Linked DNA regions of Arabidopsis thaliana. The protein of the gene in region 3 interacts with the protein of the main gene of each other region in a pairwise test. Each region holds a gene or a part of one and is shown on either strand. Other genes may lie near its edges.

Region 1 (4,824 bases), on a different chromosome or scaffold from region 3:
GGATTAATGAAAGTCCTGAGCAGATACAAAAGAGAGAAGCATTCTGGTCATCGATCAAGCCTGCTCATTTTGGTGTAAAGATAACGTCCAAATCTCTCTTTGGGATATTCCGATATGTTACACTTGGAGTGTCACTTGGTTTACTTTCCAAGTTCTCCTTCGGAAGATGGCTTCTTTTGAAATTCCCTTCAGTTTTCAGCCTTGGTTGGTTCCAGAAGAAAGGTCCAAGTGAAGAAGAGGTAGAAAGCGCTACGTTTAAGATGTGGTTCATAGGTCGTGGGTACAGCGAAGAGAGTCTAGCTTCACAAGGAGAAACAAAGCCTGACTTGGAAATCATTACAAGAATTTCAGGACCTGAGATTGGATATATAACCACCCCGATAACACTTGTTCAATGCGGTTTGATAGTCTTGGGCCAGCGCGAAAGCCTAGTTAAAGGAGGAGTCTACACACCCGGCATTGTGTTTGGTTCAACCGATATCCAGCAGCGACTTGAGGATAATGGTATATCTTTTGAGCTGATTTCAAAGATCAAGACTCAAGGATAAAAAGAGATCTCTTATCCTGCTTTTCTATTCTGTTTTTAGTTGTTATGTTATGCTTCACAGTGACATTGAAGACAGTTTGATGGTAAGTTGTATTCCAATAATAATAAAACTGTTTCCTTTACGTTTGCTATGGAGATATGTATGTACTCAAAACAGAGAATGTGGTTCTTAAAACTGGAAACAGACCATCTTAATGAAAAAAATGGATGGTAAGAGAATCCCATAAATCTTATTACTGTCTATCATTTACCAAAATTGCAGTCCCTGCTACAAAAACAAAACAAAACATTGTTGAGAAAGTGGTTCGTTTGCTGACATTGTTTGATGATCTCCCATTTGCCTCTGCATTTGTACATGCTAAACACTGTTATCAGCCATTGAAGTGTTTTGCAGGTCTCAGCTGAGCTAGTCAGGCCTCTTTTGTGGCTGAGTGATGAAACAGAACCGTTTAAAAACTCAAGTGTTGAAATCCAATGAGCTGAAAATGAGGCCTCAAGAGAGAGAAAGGTCATCGCGGGAAAGAAACTTTCCGAATTTCGAACAAGCTGGGCCAAAGAGTAACTCCAAGCTAAAATCAGGACCAGATATCGATCTTCCGTTACCACCAACTTTATCTAGCTCTCCTATGGAAAACTGCCGGAGCAAGAAATGACCATTGATAAGAATGTCAAGAGAGAACAATGAGTTTGAGGCATCTGGAGAATTCTTTACCTGAAGTAAGCCATTGGTTATAAAAGCTGTGTTGAAGCAAGTATAAAAAAGGCGGCTTCCAATCATTTTCTGGTAGAATGTGATGCGTATGTCACCACTAACCTGTCCAAGAATCATATGCTTATCAAAATCTTATCAAAAACATTGTCTGAAGAATATTTGTTTTGTGACTTACTCTCACAGGTTTGTCAAAGTAGAAATCAAGACAAGTTTTTTCGTCGATAATGGAACTCTCTGTATCCATCTGAACAACAAGATGTGGCTCTTCTCCGTCTGTTACTTCCTCATCTTCTTCTGAATCACAGTTCACATGAGATATATAATACCGTGGACTCGAACTTCTACAATACCCTTTCTTGAATTGTCTACAACAACCTCTTGCAAGTTCTACAGACGGTCGATACATCTCATTTGGAACCTAACATCATATACATCATCGCATCAAAGTGTATATATCAAACAGAAACAGAGTCTACAATGCATCAAAGTGTATATATCATTACCTCCTGAAGTTCTGAAACCACAAAGAAGACGGAATCAACGTTAGCTGTATCATAAAGTCTAATTCGCAACAACTCTCTGCTATGTTCTTGCGGTAATTTAACCTCGGGAGGTCCTTTTTTACTGAACGAAAGTAAATCTGACCAGTACTTCACATAACGACGTTGGCTTGGTATTGAGACCTGTCATGGTATTGTTTATTAGCTTCATTCTCTATTACTCCATAGCTAAAATTAAGGACTTACTCCATTATTGTTTGTTGTTCTTCTGCTTGCATACATCTCAAGAGCTTCTTCAGCTGACATGCCACCGTAAACAAGGTACGCCGATACCATTAGCCCTGTTCTACCTTTTCCTGCCTGCACAAAGTACATTAGAATATGGCAATGCTACAATGTGGATTTGGTTTTAAGAAAGTACCATGCAATGAACAACCGCGATGTTCTTGGGATCTAATGAGAGCCAAGAATGAACACTTTCACAGAAAAGTTGGATCATTTTGAGGGATGGAACATGATTGTCATCAAACGGAAATCGCTCCACGCGGCCATAAAAGTTGTCTGGATCATAAGATTCCTCTATACATAGATTATAGACCTGACCAAATTTCAATGTTAATAAAAATAGCTAGTTGATTGATGTTTTAATATTAGACGTTTGTTTTATTGACCTTGTAATGATCAGGATGTCGCATATCGAGCACGGACTTGACTTGCCAAAGAGGGTTTCTATAGACTGCTCTCATTCGTTCAGCTGGAAAAGACATTGCCAATAATTTGTCGGAGATGTAAGACATGTCGAGATCATATCCACCGATGATTAACCGTCTTCGTTTCTTGGACACCAAGTTACGTAGGTAAGAATTTGTGGTGAAGTAAGTCAGAATGTGAACCCTTGTGAATTCCAAAGGTGATTTTTCTTTTACAGGCCCTCGTGAGAGCTTGAGACCCATTCTGAAGGAAGAAAACATATCATTAGGTTAGATAACGTACACCACAAGAAAAAAACTTATCATCAAAGGGTTTATATACCTGAAGAATTGATCATGAAGTTGAGGAAGAGATTTTCAGGTTCCCAAATTGAGGGAATTGGGAACCCGAGAAGGAAGAAGATGTCGCGAGGTAATACAAAACCGAAAAATTTCAACTTTTTTTGGAGAAAATGGGTTTTGTTACATGAATAGAGATAATGGTCATTCATAGAAGAAAACGATGAACAACGATGCAATTCCATTTTTGGAGCTCCTGAAATTTAGCCAAGCTTCCCTTTAAATTTAGGTTTCTCTCTCTACTCTTATTTTCTCTCTTTACCTGTAGCGGTTAGTTTTGGCGGGAATGTATAAGGGTATATAAGAAGAGTGATCCTTTTGATTCTTCAATTCTAAAGCTTTCTTTTCTAACAAGTAAAGATTCCATTAGTATGAACAAAACTATATGCTATGTTTTTTTTTTCGAAAGTTGCTATCATCAATGTTGTTAATATTCAAATGTTTGAAAGAAGATTTGTCAATACAAGAGATTGTGTTTTTTTTTTTTTTTCTGACACGGTCATAAGTTTGACTGATGAGAAGTCGTGTTATTCAAACGACGTATCTCATAAGTCGACGCAAATTGCTTTCTTGGTGACCATTTTCTTATAGTTTTGTAACCATTAAGCTAAATTCGTGTTAGTCTTTTCATTTTTGGGATTTTAAATTGAAGCAAAACCTTTCTTTTATCCTTCTTATAATCGACATGAAGATCTCTCTTTTTTTTGCTTTCAATGCTCTCATGTTACTTCAAGTTTGCATCTTAGTTTTTGCTCAAGCTAGGTTTTCAAATGAGACTGATATGCAAGCTTTGCTTGAGTTCAAGTCTCAAGTTACTGAAAACAAGAGAGAGGTCTTAGCTTCATGGAATCACTCCTTTCCACTTTGCCATTGGATTGGGATTACATGTGGTCGGAAACAAGAAAGAGTTACAAGTCTAGACCTTGGAGGATTCAAATTGTCCGGTTCGATCTCACCTTCTATTGGTAATCTCTCATTTCTCAGATCACTTAATCTTGGTGACAACTCTTTTCAAAGTAATATCCCTCAAGAGGTAGGAATGCTATTTAGGCTTCGGTACTTGAACATGAGCTATAATCTTCTAGAAGGAAAGATTCTGGTTAGTCTTTTTAATCTTCTTGAACAAGTTCGAAGGAAGCGTACCAACGAAAGGAGTTTTTCAAAACGGTACAACAGTTTCTGTCTTTGGAAATGAAAATCTATGTGGAGGCGTCATAGAAATGCAACTAAAGCCATGCATTGAATCACCAAGGCAGAAAAAGCCTTTCTCACTTGGAGAGAAAGTTGCCGTTGGTGTAGGTGTAGCTTTGCTTTTTTTATTCATAATTGTGGCTTCTTTGTCTTGGTTCAAGAAGAAGAACGATGTTAGTGGTAGTATACTAATCCATCTGATTCTACTACTGTGGGGATGTTTTTTGAGAAGATAAGTTATGAAGAGCTTTATAATGCAACAAGTGGCTTCTCTTCAAGCAATCTAATTGGTTCAGGCAACTTCAGTGATGTGTTTAAAGGATTGCTTGGCCTCGAGGAAAAACTCGTCGCGGTTAAAGTTTTGAACCTCCTGAAACATGGAGCAACAAAAAGCTTTATAGCGGAATGTGAATCTTTCAAAGGTATTAGGCACCGTAACCTTGCGAAACTGATAACAGTTTGCTCAAGCCTTGATTCCCAAGGAAATGATTTCAGAGCTTTAGTCTATGAGTTCATGCCAAAAGGAAGTCTAGATATGTGGCTACAGCCAGAAGATTTGGAAAGTGCAAACAATCACTCAAGGTCTTTAACATTTGCAGAGAAAGTCAACATAGCAATAGATGTGGCTTCTGCTTTGGAGTATCTGCATGTTTATTGTCATGACCCTGTCGCTCATTGTGATATTAAGCCAAGCAACGTTCTTCTAGACGATGATTTGACGGCTCATGTTAGTGACTTTGGTTTGGCTCGGCTCCTTTATAATTTCGATGAGAAAACCTTTCTAAACCAGTTCAGTTCTGCCGGTGTGAGAGGTACCATTGGCTA
Region 2 (4,643 bases), on a different chromosome or scaffold from region 3:
CGGTGGTGGTACAGCGGTGGAAGGTTGTGTGCTGCGGAGAAGCTTTACATTTGGACATAGAAGGAGGCTTTGGGGGATGTTTTCTTCGTCGTTGAGAGAGTGAGATCGACGTAGAACCATCGGCACAAGCTCCGGCTGAAAAGAAACAAGAGATGAGATGAGGAGAGAATGAATACTATGTTGGAGAGGAATAGAAGAGGAAGAGAAAGCCTCTCAATTTTTTGCTTATTTAGAGAGATGAAAAGAAAGAAGAAGATGTTAGCCACTATGGCATACTAGCTAGAAAAGACTTTGGGCAATATGGCATTTTCAGAACTACAGTGATGATAATATGGCTTCACTGTTGATAAAATCTTGTTTTAATGTCCATAGGAGTATTTGTGTCTTAGGAAGTCTTAGATTATGTAGTGATTTTAAGAGTTTTTGTGACATTTCGTATCATTTGGGAGTTGGAAACAAATAAGATAAAAGAAAATTCAAACACATGACTAAATGTGTTCGTGCTTCCAAGGATGGTCGATCAATCTCTGAAATTATGATCGTCCGACCACATGATGATCGATCCAGCGTTCAAAACATGGTCGACCCACCATGACCGAATACTATATTGAAAATTTTACTTGTCCAAGAACTACTAGGTGTTCTTGAAAAAAAAAAAAGATAAGAGCTATATAAGTTAACCATCTCAGAAAATCTTGAGATTGTTGATTAGTTTAGAATCATCTAATACGAGTGTATGACGAAAATTCAGAGAAAATCTTTCTTATATTACACACAGACATAAGACATAACTCTGGCTCTAAGATAATTTATGTCATTTCTAAATCAACTGCAAGTATATTCACACCGAAGTCCCTAACTTTAAAATCATTACTCGTTCCTGCATTGCTCTCCAAAGGGTGGCAGAAGAAGAGCCAATCTTGCCTTGTACCTCGCGATTCTCTTTAACCGTTCTTCTCTCAATCTGCAAACAAAACAAACCACACAATTTTGTTCAAAACAAAAAATATTCAATCTTCAACCATCGAACTTAGCTTTGATGATATGTTGTGGGACTCACCGAGCGCGGACCTTCTTAGCTCGGTCTATATGTCTTTTCAAAAGATCAGATTCTGACAAATGTTTCACAGATTCCTCGTCCTGAAGCTCATCAAGAGAGTTGAAGTAAATAATCAAACTTAGCTTTACCCTTCACAATTACCATTTTAGAAAGAAATCAGAGAAACACGAAACCTCTTTGTCTTCTTCGCAAATTGCTTCTTCAACTAAATCTTTTGGCAAACTTGTCTCCGTCTTGTCCACAGGTAAAGGCTTTGGCAAACATGTCATCATATCAATTCGCTGCGGCTGTAAACAACGTCATTAATCTTCCAAAGATATCAAGAATAGATATACAAAAATCCAAGTGTTGCATTATACTACAAAGCAGAAATAAGAAATGGATACGAACCTTAATTCCCTCATGAGCACCATTTCTCAACCAAGATCGACACAGCGAGTATAAAGAAGCTCCCTCGGTTATTCTAACCTGCAGAACAAATAAAAAGTATTTAAAATTCCTCAAATGGCGAAGCAAGCGGTTTCGAACGATAATGCAAAACCAAAAAACAAGGATAAAACTATACCTTTCTTTTTCTAACGAGGACCAGAGCATCATCCCGGCTCCTAAACACCATGGAAACGAAACAGAGACATTATTAAGTTTCTAGAGTAGTTTCTAATTAACAAAGCATAATGGCAAAGAAGATAAAGTACCTGGCCTTCTTATGCCCACTGTTGTCTAGAATTGAAGTTGGAGAAGGAGTAGCCTAACAATCAAAAATCCAAAATTTACAAAATGTAACCTCACACAAATATCTAACAGAAGTTTCAACCTTTCCTAATTCATTAGAGATTGCTATTCGAATTCTACAATCACCAAAGCAAATAATCTTCACTTCAACATACACATTTTCACTAACTAGCACAAGCTACAAAAAAAACACTTGACAAAACTATGGAATTAAACAAAAAGATTCAAACTTGTTTTGGTAACGAAAACGATAACTAACCCGAGGTTGCAAAAAATGAGGAACTCCTTTCATATGACCGGAACCAAGTTGAGGAGATTGTTGATTCTGAGGATGTGCAGCTCTCATGAACTGATTCATTGGATCCAAATTCGACACGAATTGGCCATGGTGGTATCCGTAAACTGGCCCTCGAGGAGTATACCCACCTGGACTAGGACTACCAACTGGATCAGCGACGGAATTGGAATTCTGTCTAACGGGTCGGGTCGGAAACCCTCGACCCGAAGAACCAAACGGGTATATCAGACTAGACGGGTCTGGGTGAGGAGGCTGATGAGGCGAATTAGTAACGGAATTCGAACGCCTAATCGGTAAAGGGTTAGTGTAGATATTTTGATGAGGATGATGACGATGAAGCGGAGCTATGGCTCTGTACGACGAAGCTGGTGTTTGAGGTTGAGGTTGAGACGACGGCGTTATGACTGTGTTAGGTTGTGTCACCGGAGATTCAGATGCGGTGACGATTGGAGTCGATACTGCTACAGAGACGGAAGGATTTGGATTTGGATTGGGATTGGGATCGGGAGTAGACATTGTTCCGGCGGATTTTGATTTCTGAGAAATTTGGGGAAAATCAAGTTAAAGACAACGATTCAAAATTTGGTAGCTTTTTCTTTGATTTTCAGGACACGAACTCTTTTTAAGTTCCTTCTAACTAACTAAACTAGGGCTCGGTATTTAATGTTTTGGTTCGGTTTTTTACTTTTTTCTACTCGGGTCCGGTTCAATGTGAGATTTACATTAACGAAAATTAATCCAGGATTTTAAAATGCTGATTTAGTTACGGCTGAAATCTTTTTGGGTAACATTTAAACCATAATGCAGCCATCGTATGGTTGGGTTCGGTATTAAATGTGACCTTAGTTCTAAGTTTCACAGAAAGAAGTGTAAGCTGTCTGAATCTTGAATTATTTATTTTTCCAATAATAATCCATAAGCTGAGATATCTGGCCACAGCTCAGAGAATGTGTAAAGTTTAAGACTCTACATAAAACATAATGGATATGGGTGGGGTATATTTAGCAGCAGCACAAAAACAGGGGATGATCATCATCTACAAAAAGATTCAAGATTCTGTAATGGCAGCAACATGAAGCTGTTGTTGTTGCATGAGGAAGAAATAGCAATGCGCATCTGAGTGAGTTTTAGAAGCCGGCCCATCCAGCAGGTTGAGCTGTTTTCTGGTTTTCTCTCATCTTTGAGTTCCCATATCTCTGTGAAGTGCTGTTTCCAGAGCCCATAGATCTTTGTGTTCCAGATGCAGAAGTAGCAGCTGCAGACGTTGCAGCGGCTCTAAAGGATTCTGTCTCGAAACCCCATGGCTCAAAACCTTGAGTACCTGCAGCAGAAGCTGGTTTACTTCTGGTTCTCACAGACTGATTAATCGTATTATTGTTACCCTTTGATGCAGATTCCATCACGGGTTTCGCTTCATCACTAAAAGGTTGCCATGAATTTGTATCAGAGCTGCCAGTTGACCAGTTAGATCTGTCCTGTTGAAGTTCCCACATTGTTCCTTCCATCTTATCTCTCTGTTTCATCAAGAACATTAGAATTCTAAGATATACATTGATGAAGACTTTTGTATGGGTGTCTAAGCTTAGATGAACAAGAACCAAGAATAATACCGATGGAGTTGATGACATGGAATGCATCCCTGGAGAGGGTTGATTTTGTGAAGAGTCTCTGCTCGGTGACGGTGAGGCACTTTTAGAGGCAAGTGTTTGTTTGAGATCCTGCAACTCTTGCCTTTGCGATCTGCAGATAGCAGAAAGCTTTTCAAACTTAGCAGTTATTTCTGCCTTCTCTGATTTTGTTTGCTTCAACTCGTCTTTTAACCTCTGTATCTCAGCTTCCAATGCCTCTTCTTTGCCAGGTTTATTACCATTATCGAACTTTGTGGTATCAAAGTCAGCAACAAACGAGTTGAAGGCATCATCCTTGGACACTCTTGTCATGTTATTGGCTGCAGCAGGAGTTGTATTCTTCTGAGAAATCGTAGTTTCAAGATCTTTATTTCTTTGAATACCACGAGCCTCTCCTCTCACAGGACTTGGTTTTTTGGGTTGATGACTATCCACACGAACTCTTTCAGATTTAGATGTGTTACTGTTTGGTTCATCAAATTTAGGCATGTTTTTGTTATCTTCTGATACAACTGAGGTTTTAGCATGCTGAGTCGCCCAAAAGGCACCGAGCGGTCCTCCACTATCTGATTCTCCAGAAGATGGTGGCGGCGGTGGCGGACTTCTACGAGGTGCTGGAGAAGGTTTAGTTGCTGATTTTGATGAGCCTGTCAAAATTCATAAGGATCAAAAGAAATCACATCTTTCTTTGAGAAGCTATCCAAAATAGGTTTTATTCACTATACCATCATGGACTCCAGTAGATTGCATTTCAGGTGGTCGATCCGGTAATGATTTCTGTAAATTAGCAGGAAGCTGCTCATTGACACGAAACCAAATCTGTAGATGGACATGTTGTTAGAGACATTTTACATTTCCTCAACTGAGAAGAAACAATGAGTAAAAATTGACTTTTAACCTGTGTAATATCTGGTCGTTCATCGGG
Region 3 (4,456 bases):
GGTTTGATCCATTTAATTCGCTGCAACGGTAGCATGTAGGTGTAATAGAGTGGATATATGAAGAAAAATAAGCATTAGTATTTAGTATACTATGTTATTTCCATCTACTCTTTCACAATTTTTTTTGTTTCAGTAAGATTGATTCTCTAATGTTATGTGTATTTTTTTATTTATAATAAGTGACATGTAGCCAAATTATTTTGCTTCACTTTAAATAATATTCAATATTTTTTCATGTAAAACTATTAACTATTTTCAAAATCAACCTTACAATAAATGCTTAGTCCTATTACTTTTGTTTTGAAAATTAATAGAATGTAGGTGTAAAATAGATAATATACATGTATAAATTTTTTAAATATCACTTATTAAAAAAGGATGAAGTATTACGCTTATATTTAGATTTAAAAAAAAAAAACTAGAGAACTAATAAGATTTTTGGTAAAATATATTCTGGTATTAAGTGTTTTTTTAGTGAAAAGGAGATTGATATACACGCGCCAATTTACTGGTATTGATATATACTGGGCCAGGCCCATTTTGGGGTGAGCAGCAGATCCAACTATCTGACAAAAGAAAGAAAAAGAAGTTCTCCACCACCTGACATTTTCTCATTCTGATTCTGCAAATCTAATTGGGATTTGGATTTCAGAGGAAAACAAAATGTGGAATGGGGACTCTTCAAAAATGACAGTGACACTTATTTATAAAAACAAAAGTCTGGTTTCATTGGAACCAAATCGAAGCTTGAAATTATTAAAAAAAGATCCAAAGGCAGTGTTACAAATACAAACTCTTAATGTTCAGACAAAACATCCCCAGAAGACAACAACAACAACAACAACAAAAAGGAAAGCGTCAAAGCCAAATATGAGACACGTGCTTATTCAAAAAAAATCCAAATATAAGACAAATTCTTGTTCTTTTGCATATTCACTGCAACAGAATCTGAGATTGCAGACCCAAAAATTGGCAGGAATGTTCTTGAAGAAGTCTTCTTTTCATCTATCTCCTCAGGGTGTGAAGAATGTACTCAGCGTAAAGATCCCTGTGAATGATTTCAAACATCAAGATTTGCTTAAAAGAAAAGCAAATTATGTAAAAAAGGTAAAAAGAAAAAAAAGTTTACATTGAGTACTGAATGGCTTCAATAGCAGGACCAGGTTGTAGAAAATCATTCACTGCAACTTCCTTGTTCTCATTCTTCTTGTCTGTTATATTTTGGTTAAAGATAGCAAAAAAGAAATGGTTTTGTTTCCTAATCAAGTATTAAAATAGGTTTTAAGGATACAGTCTTCAAAGAATCGACGGATTTCAGAAAGACGATGAGGAGGAAGTTCATTGATGTTAGTGATGTGCTTATACTCAGGATCATCAACACAAACTGCAATGATCTTGTCATCTTTTTCACCCTTTATTTCAACCAAAACCCCAAAGAATTAGCTACAATGGTTACACAAACTTGAAGCACAAGGAAACATGAAAAACTAAAGCTTAGGATGTTACCTGGTCAATCATAGGCATTAAACCAATAGCTCGGGCGCGAAGAAAACAACCCGGAAGCACAGGCTCCTGTACATAATCAACTTTGATAAGAAATTATTTCAGCCATTTCATTTTCTTTTGGTGAATGTTGTTAGAATTAGACTCAAACCTGCATGATAACTAAAACATCTATAGGGTCATTGTCTTCACATAGTGTGCGTGGGACAAACCCGTAGTTGTGAGGATACACAACCGAAGAATAAAGAATCCTATCAACCTGATAGACATATACAAACACTTACGATCATCATATATCCTCAGATCATTCTGTTTTTTCAAGATTTGATATCTTTTTACCTTGATGAGACCTGTTTTTTTGTCAAGTTCATATTTGACTTTGCTCCCCTTTGAGATCTCAATAACCTAATTTCATCCAAAAAAGACAAATGATTAACTCTTTTTCGATCGGATTGTCACATCATCAAGCATAAAGACTTTACCACATTGAAAATCACTGGAGCTCCAGGTCCTGCACACATAGAACAATTTAGTTAAAAAGACTCTAATCAAACACACAGAATATCTTTAAAACAGTGATTATTACCGATTTCAAGATCATGCCATGGATGTGCAGCAACCGATCTCTTAGACAAAGATGAGAGAATCCTCTCGTTTAAACGTGGAGTAGGGTTCTGAAGCTTCTTCTGAGGTTGACTCGTTTTCACTTCTTCTCCATTCATCTAATAAAACAGAGCAAAACAGAACCAAACGTTAGAATCTTGTTAGTCAATTTTCATGACTTCACGTCTAAATCAATATAGAATCTTTTCACTATTGATGCTGATAACACGATCCATCACTCAAAGATTTAACATCAGATTCTACTAGTACGATAAACATCAATCATCTTCAAGATCGAAGTTAACAAAATCTACATAATTCAGCTAAACACTAACAATTTGTATCGAATTTGTTCATTTCTCGATAGATCTTCCGTTGGATACAAAATCCAGAGGATCAAACATCAATACGCAACAAAAGTTGAGATCAAGAACCTTCAAAAAAAAAAGTCGTACCTTAGAATCGTTTGAAGAACAGAACAATCTTGCGGAAAGTGTGGAGAAAGAAAAGTGACGATGATGAGAAAACAGTAAAGCGCGTGTTCTTCAATTGCTACCCATAATAGTATTTATAGAAAGCGAGAAAAACGGATTAAGATTTAATTAATTGGTAAGTAAGTTATTAATTAAATATGAATTTATAATCACCGTTCGATTTCTTATAACCTAGGGCCCACCGTAAAACACTAATCTCAGTCTCTTGAACGATTCTCATACACACACTTGGCACTAACGCTTTAACTATTTAAACTTTTACTGATGAAAAACAAAATGAAGAGGAAGCAAGAAAGCAAATTTTTTTGTAACGATGCCTATCAACAGAATTGCGATTGGAACGCCGGGGGAAGCTAGTCGTCCCGATGCGATTAGAGCAGCTTTCGCGGAGTTTTTCTCGATGGTTATATTCGTTTTCGCGGGTCAAGGCTCTGGAATGGCTTATGGAAAACTAACTGGAGATGGTCCAGCCACACCTGCCGGTCTTGTGGCCGCGTCTTTGTCTCATGCGTTTGCGTTGTTCGTTGCGGTTTCCGTTGGAGCTAACGTTTCAGGTGGTCATGTGAACCCGGCGGTTACATTTGGGGCTTTTATTGGTGGAAACATAACGTTGTTGAGAGCTATTCTTTATTGGATCGCTCAATTACTCGGAGCAGTCGTAGCTTGCTTGTTGCTCAAGGTAAGCACTGGCGGGATGGAAACGGCTGCGTTTTCGCTATCATATGGAGTGACGCCCTGGAACGCAGTCGTTTTCGAGATTGTGATGACGTTTGGGTTAGTTTACACGGTTTACGCTACTGCCGTGGATCCCAAGAAAGGTGATATTGGAATCATTGCGCCTTTGGCGATTGGGTTAATCGTTGGAGCTAACATTCTGGTTGGTGGTGCTTTCGACGGTGCATCGATGAACCCCGCGGTTTCATTTGGTCCGGCCGTGGTTAGCTGGATTTGGACGAATCATTGGGTCTATTGGGTTGGTCCTTTTATCGGTGCAGCCATTGCAGCTATTGTTTATGATACTATCTTTATCGGTAGTAATGGACATGAACCACTTCCTTCTAATGATTTCTAAGTTAGGTTTTTTTTTCTTGTGTCTTGTGAAACAAGAAATCTACAGTTGTAGCCTACTATGGGTATTTTGAGGGAGATATGTGTTTTTAATTGTTTTTCACTACTTTTGTTGTTTTAAGTAATTAATAAATTGATTGGTGGAAAATTTACACTAATTTAAATTAGATTAAACTATTATGTGGGGTATACGTAGTATTCTGCCATACTTAAGGAATTCATGTACAAACGAATTTTATTGGAGGCATATTCTTGAGATTATGCTTCCATGGTGAAAACTGAAAATATATCAAACATAATGGGACCCGCCATTATCAATAATACTATGAAGATATATATATGGTTGGTTGGTCCATGCACGTTCTTTATTTTATTTTTGGCCCAAGCACGTTCTGATATGTGAATCTTAGGCTAATGATTTTTTAGTCGATTTAAGTATTGAACAACACACACAAAAAAAGGAATTCAATAAACGGTACTTCGGTGTCCCGGTGTTTGCTCTAAACGCGTTTCCAAGTTTCTTGCACGTTCAAGCAAAGTGCGATGACGAGATTTGATGATACTCACGATGTATATTCCTCAATAACAATAATTGTGATTAGTATTATAAGTTTATATATATAACTCATCGTGGATTTAGAAGAGTTATGTCAATGGTCGATTGGTCGTATGTTTTATTGTTTTTACCACATGGAAAACTAACTATTTTATGTATCAAGAATTGTAAATAACATGACATTTGCAGATAACAACTATTTGGGAGAATTCTAAAATTCGCTCGATGATTT

Evidence for each region. Proteins that work in one complex are often made in the same cells at the same time.
Region 1: the proteins of PPa5 (region 3) and PTEN1 interact in a two-hybrid assay, tested with the Arabidopsis thaliana proteins (one large-scale study listed by BioGRID).
Region 2: the proteins of PPa5 (region 3) and AT2G32840 interact in a two-hybrid assay, tested with the Arabidopsis thaliana proteins (one large-scale study listed by BioGRID).

The regions. Positions count from the first base shown.
Region 1 is NC_003076.8:15,764,139-15,768,962, reverse strand, and holds PTEN1 (Calcium/lipid-binding (CaLB) phosphatase), read right to left. Parts: upstream 2,927-4,824; 5' UTR 2,792-2,926; intron 2,714-2,791; 5' UTR 2,713-2,713; coding exon 2,431-2,712; intron 2,358-2,430; coding exon 2,181-2,357; intron 2,120-2,180; coding exon 2,006-2,119; intron 1,943-2,005; coding exon 1,763-1,942; intron 1,678-1,762; coding exon 1,435-1,677; intron 1,362-1,434; coding exon 1,260-1,361; intron 1,182-1,259; coding exon 1,041-1,181; 3' UTR 609-1,040; downstream 1-608. Other genes in the region: AT5G39410 (Saccharopine dehydrogenase), read left to right, coding at 1-548; AT5G39390 (Leucine-rich repeat protein kinase family protein), read left to right, coding at 3,494-3,841, 3,936-4,172, 4,229-4,824. UniProt on the Arabidopsis thaliana protein: Protein tyrosine phosphatase that also exhibits lipid phosphatase activity. Can use phosphatidylinositol substrates such as PtdIns(3,4,5)P(3) as substrate. Pollen-specific phosphatase required for pollen development.
Region 2 is NC_003071.7:13,932,231-13,936,873, forward strand, and holds AT2G32840 (proline-rich family protein), read right to left. Parts: upstream 2,720-4,643; 5' UTR 2,607-2,719; coding exon 2,052-2,606; intron 1,809-2,051; coding exon 1,756-1,808; intron 1,666-1,755; coding exon 1,626-1,665; intron 1,529-1,625; coding exon 1,451-1,528; intron 1,348-1,450; coding exon 1,234-1,347; coding exon of another isoform or gene 1,198-1,233; exon of another isoform or gene 1,141-1,197; coding exon 1,061-1,140; intron 965-1,060; coding exon 871-964; 3' UTR 609-870; downstream 1-608. Other genes in the region: AT2G32850 (Protein kinase superfamily protein), read right to left, coding at 3,218-3,604, 3,701-4,365, 4,444-4,537, 4,617-4,643.
Region 3 is NC_003075.7:624,308-628,763, reverse strand, and holds PPa5 (pyrophosphorylase 5), read right to left. Parts: upstream 2,696-4,456; 5' UTR 2,562-2,695; intron 2,545-2,561; exon of another isoform or gene 2,442-2,544; intron 2,226-2,441; coding exon 2,090-2,225; intron 2,015-2,089; coding exon 1,986-2,014; intron 1,909-1,985; coding exon 1,843-1,908; intron 1,763-1,842; coding exon 1,655-1,762; intron 1,573-1,654; coding exon 1,507-1,572; intron 1,413-1,506; coding exon 1,292-1,412; intron 1,212-1,291; coding exon 1,130-1,211; intron 1,049-1,129; coding exon 1,006-1,048; 3' UTR 694-1,005; downstream 1-693. Other genes in the region: TIP1;3 (tonoplast intrinsic protein 1;3), read left to right, coding at 2,914-3,672.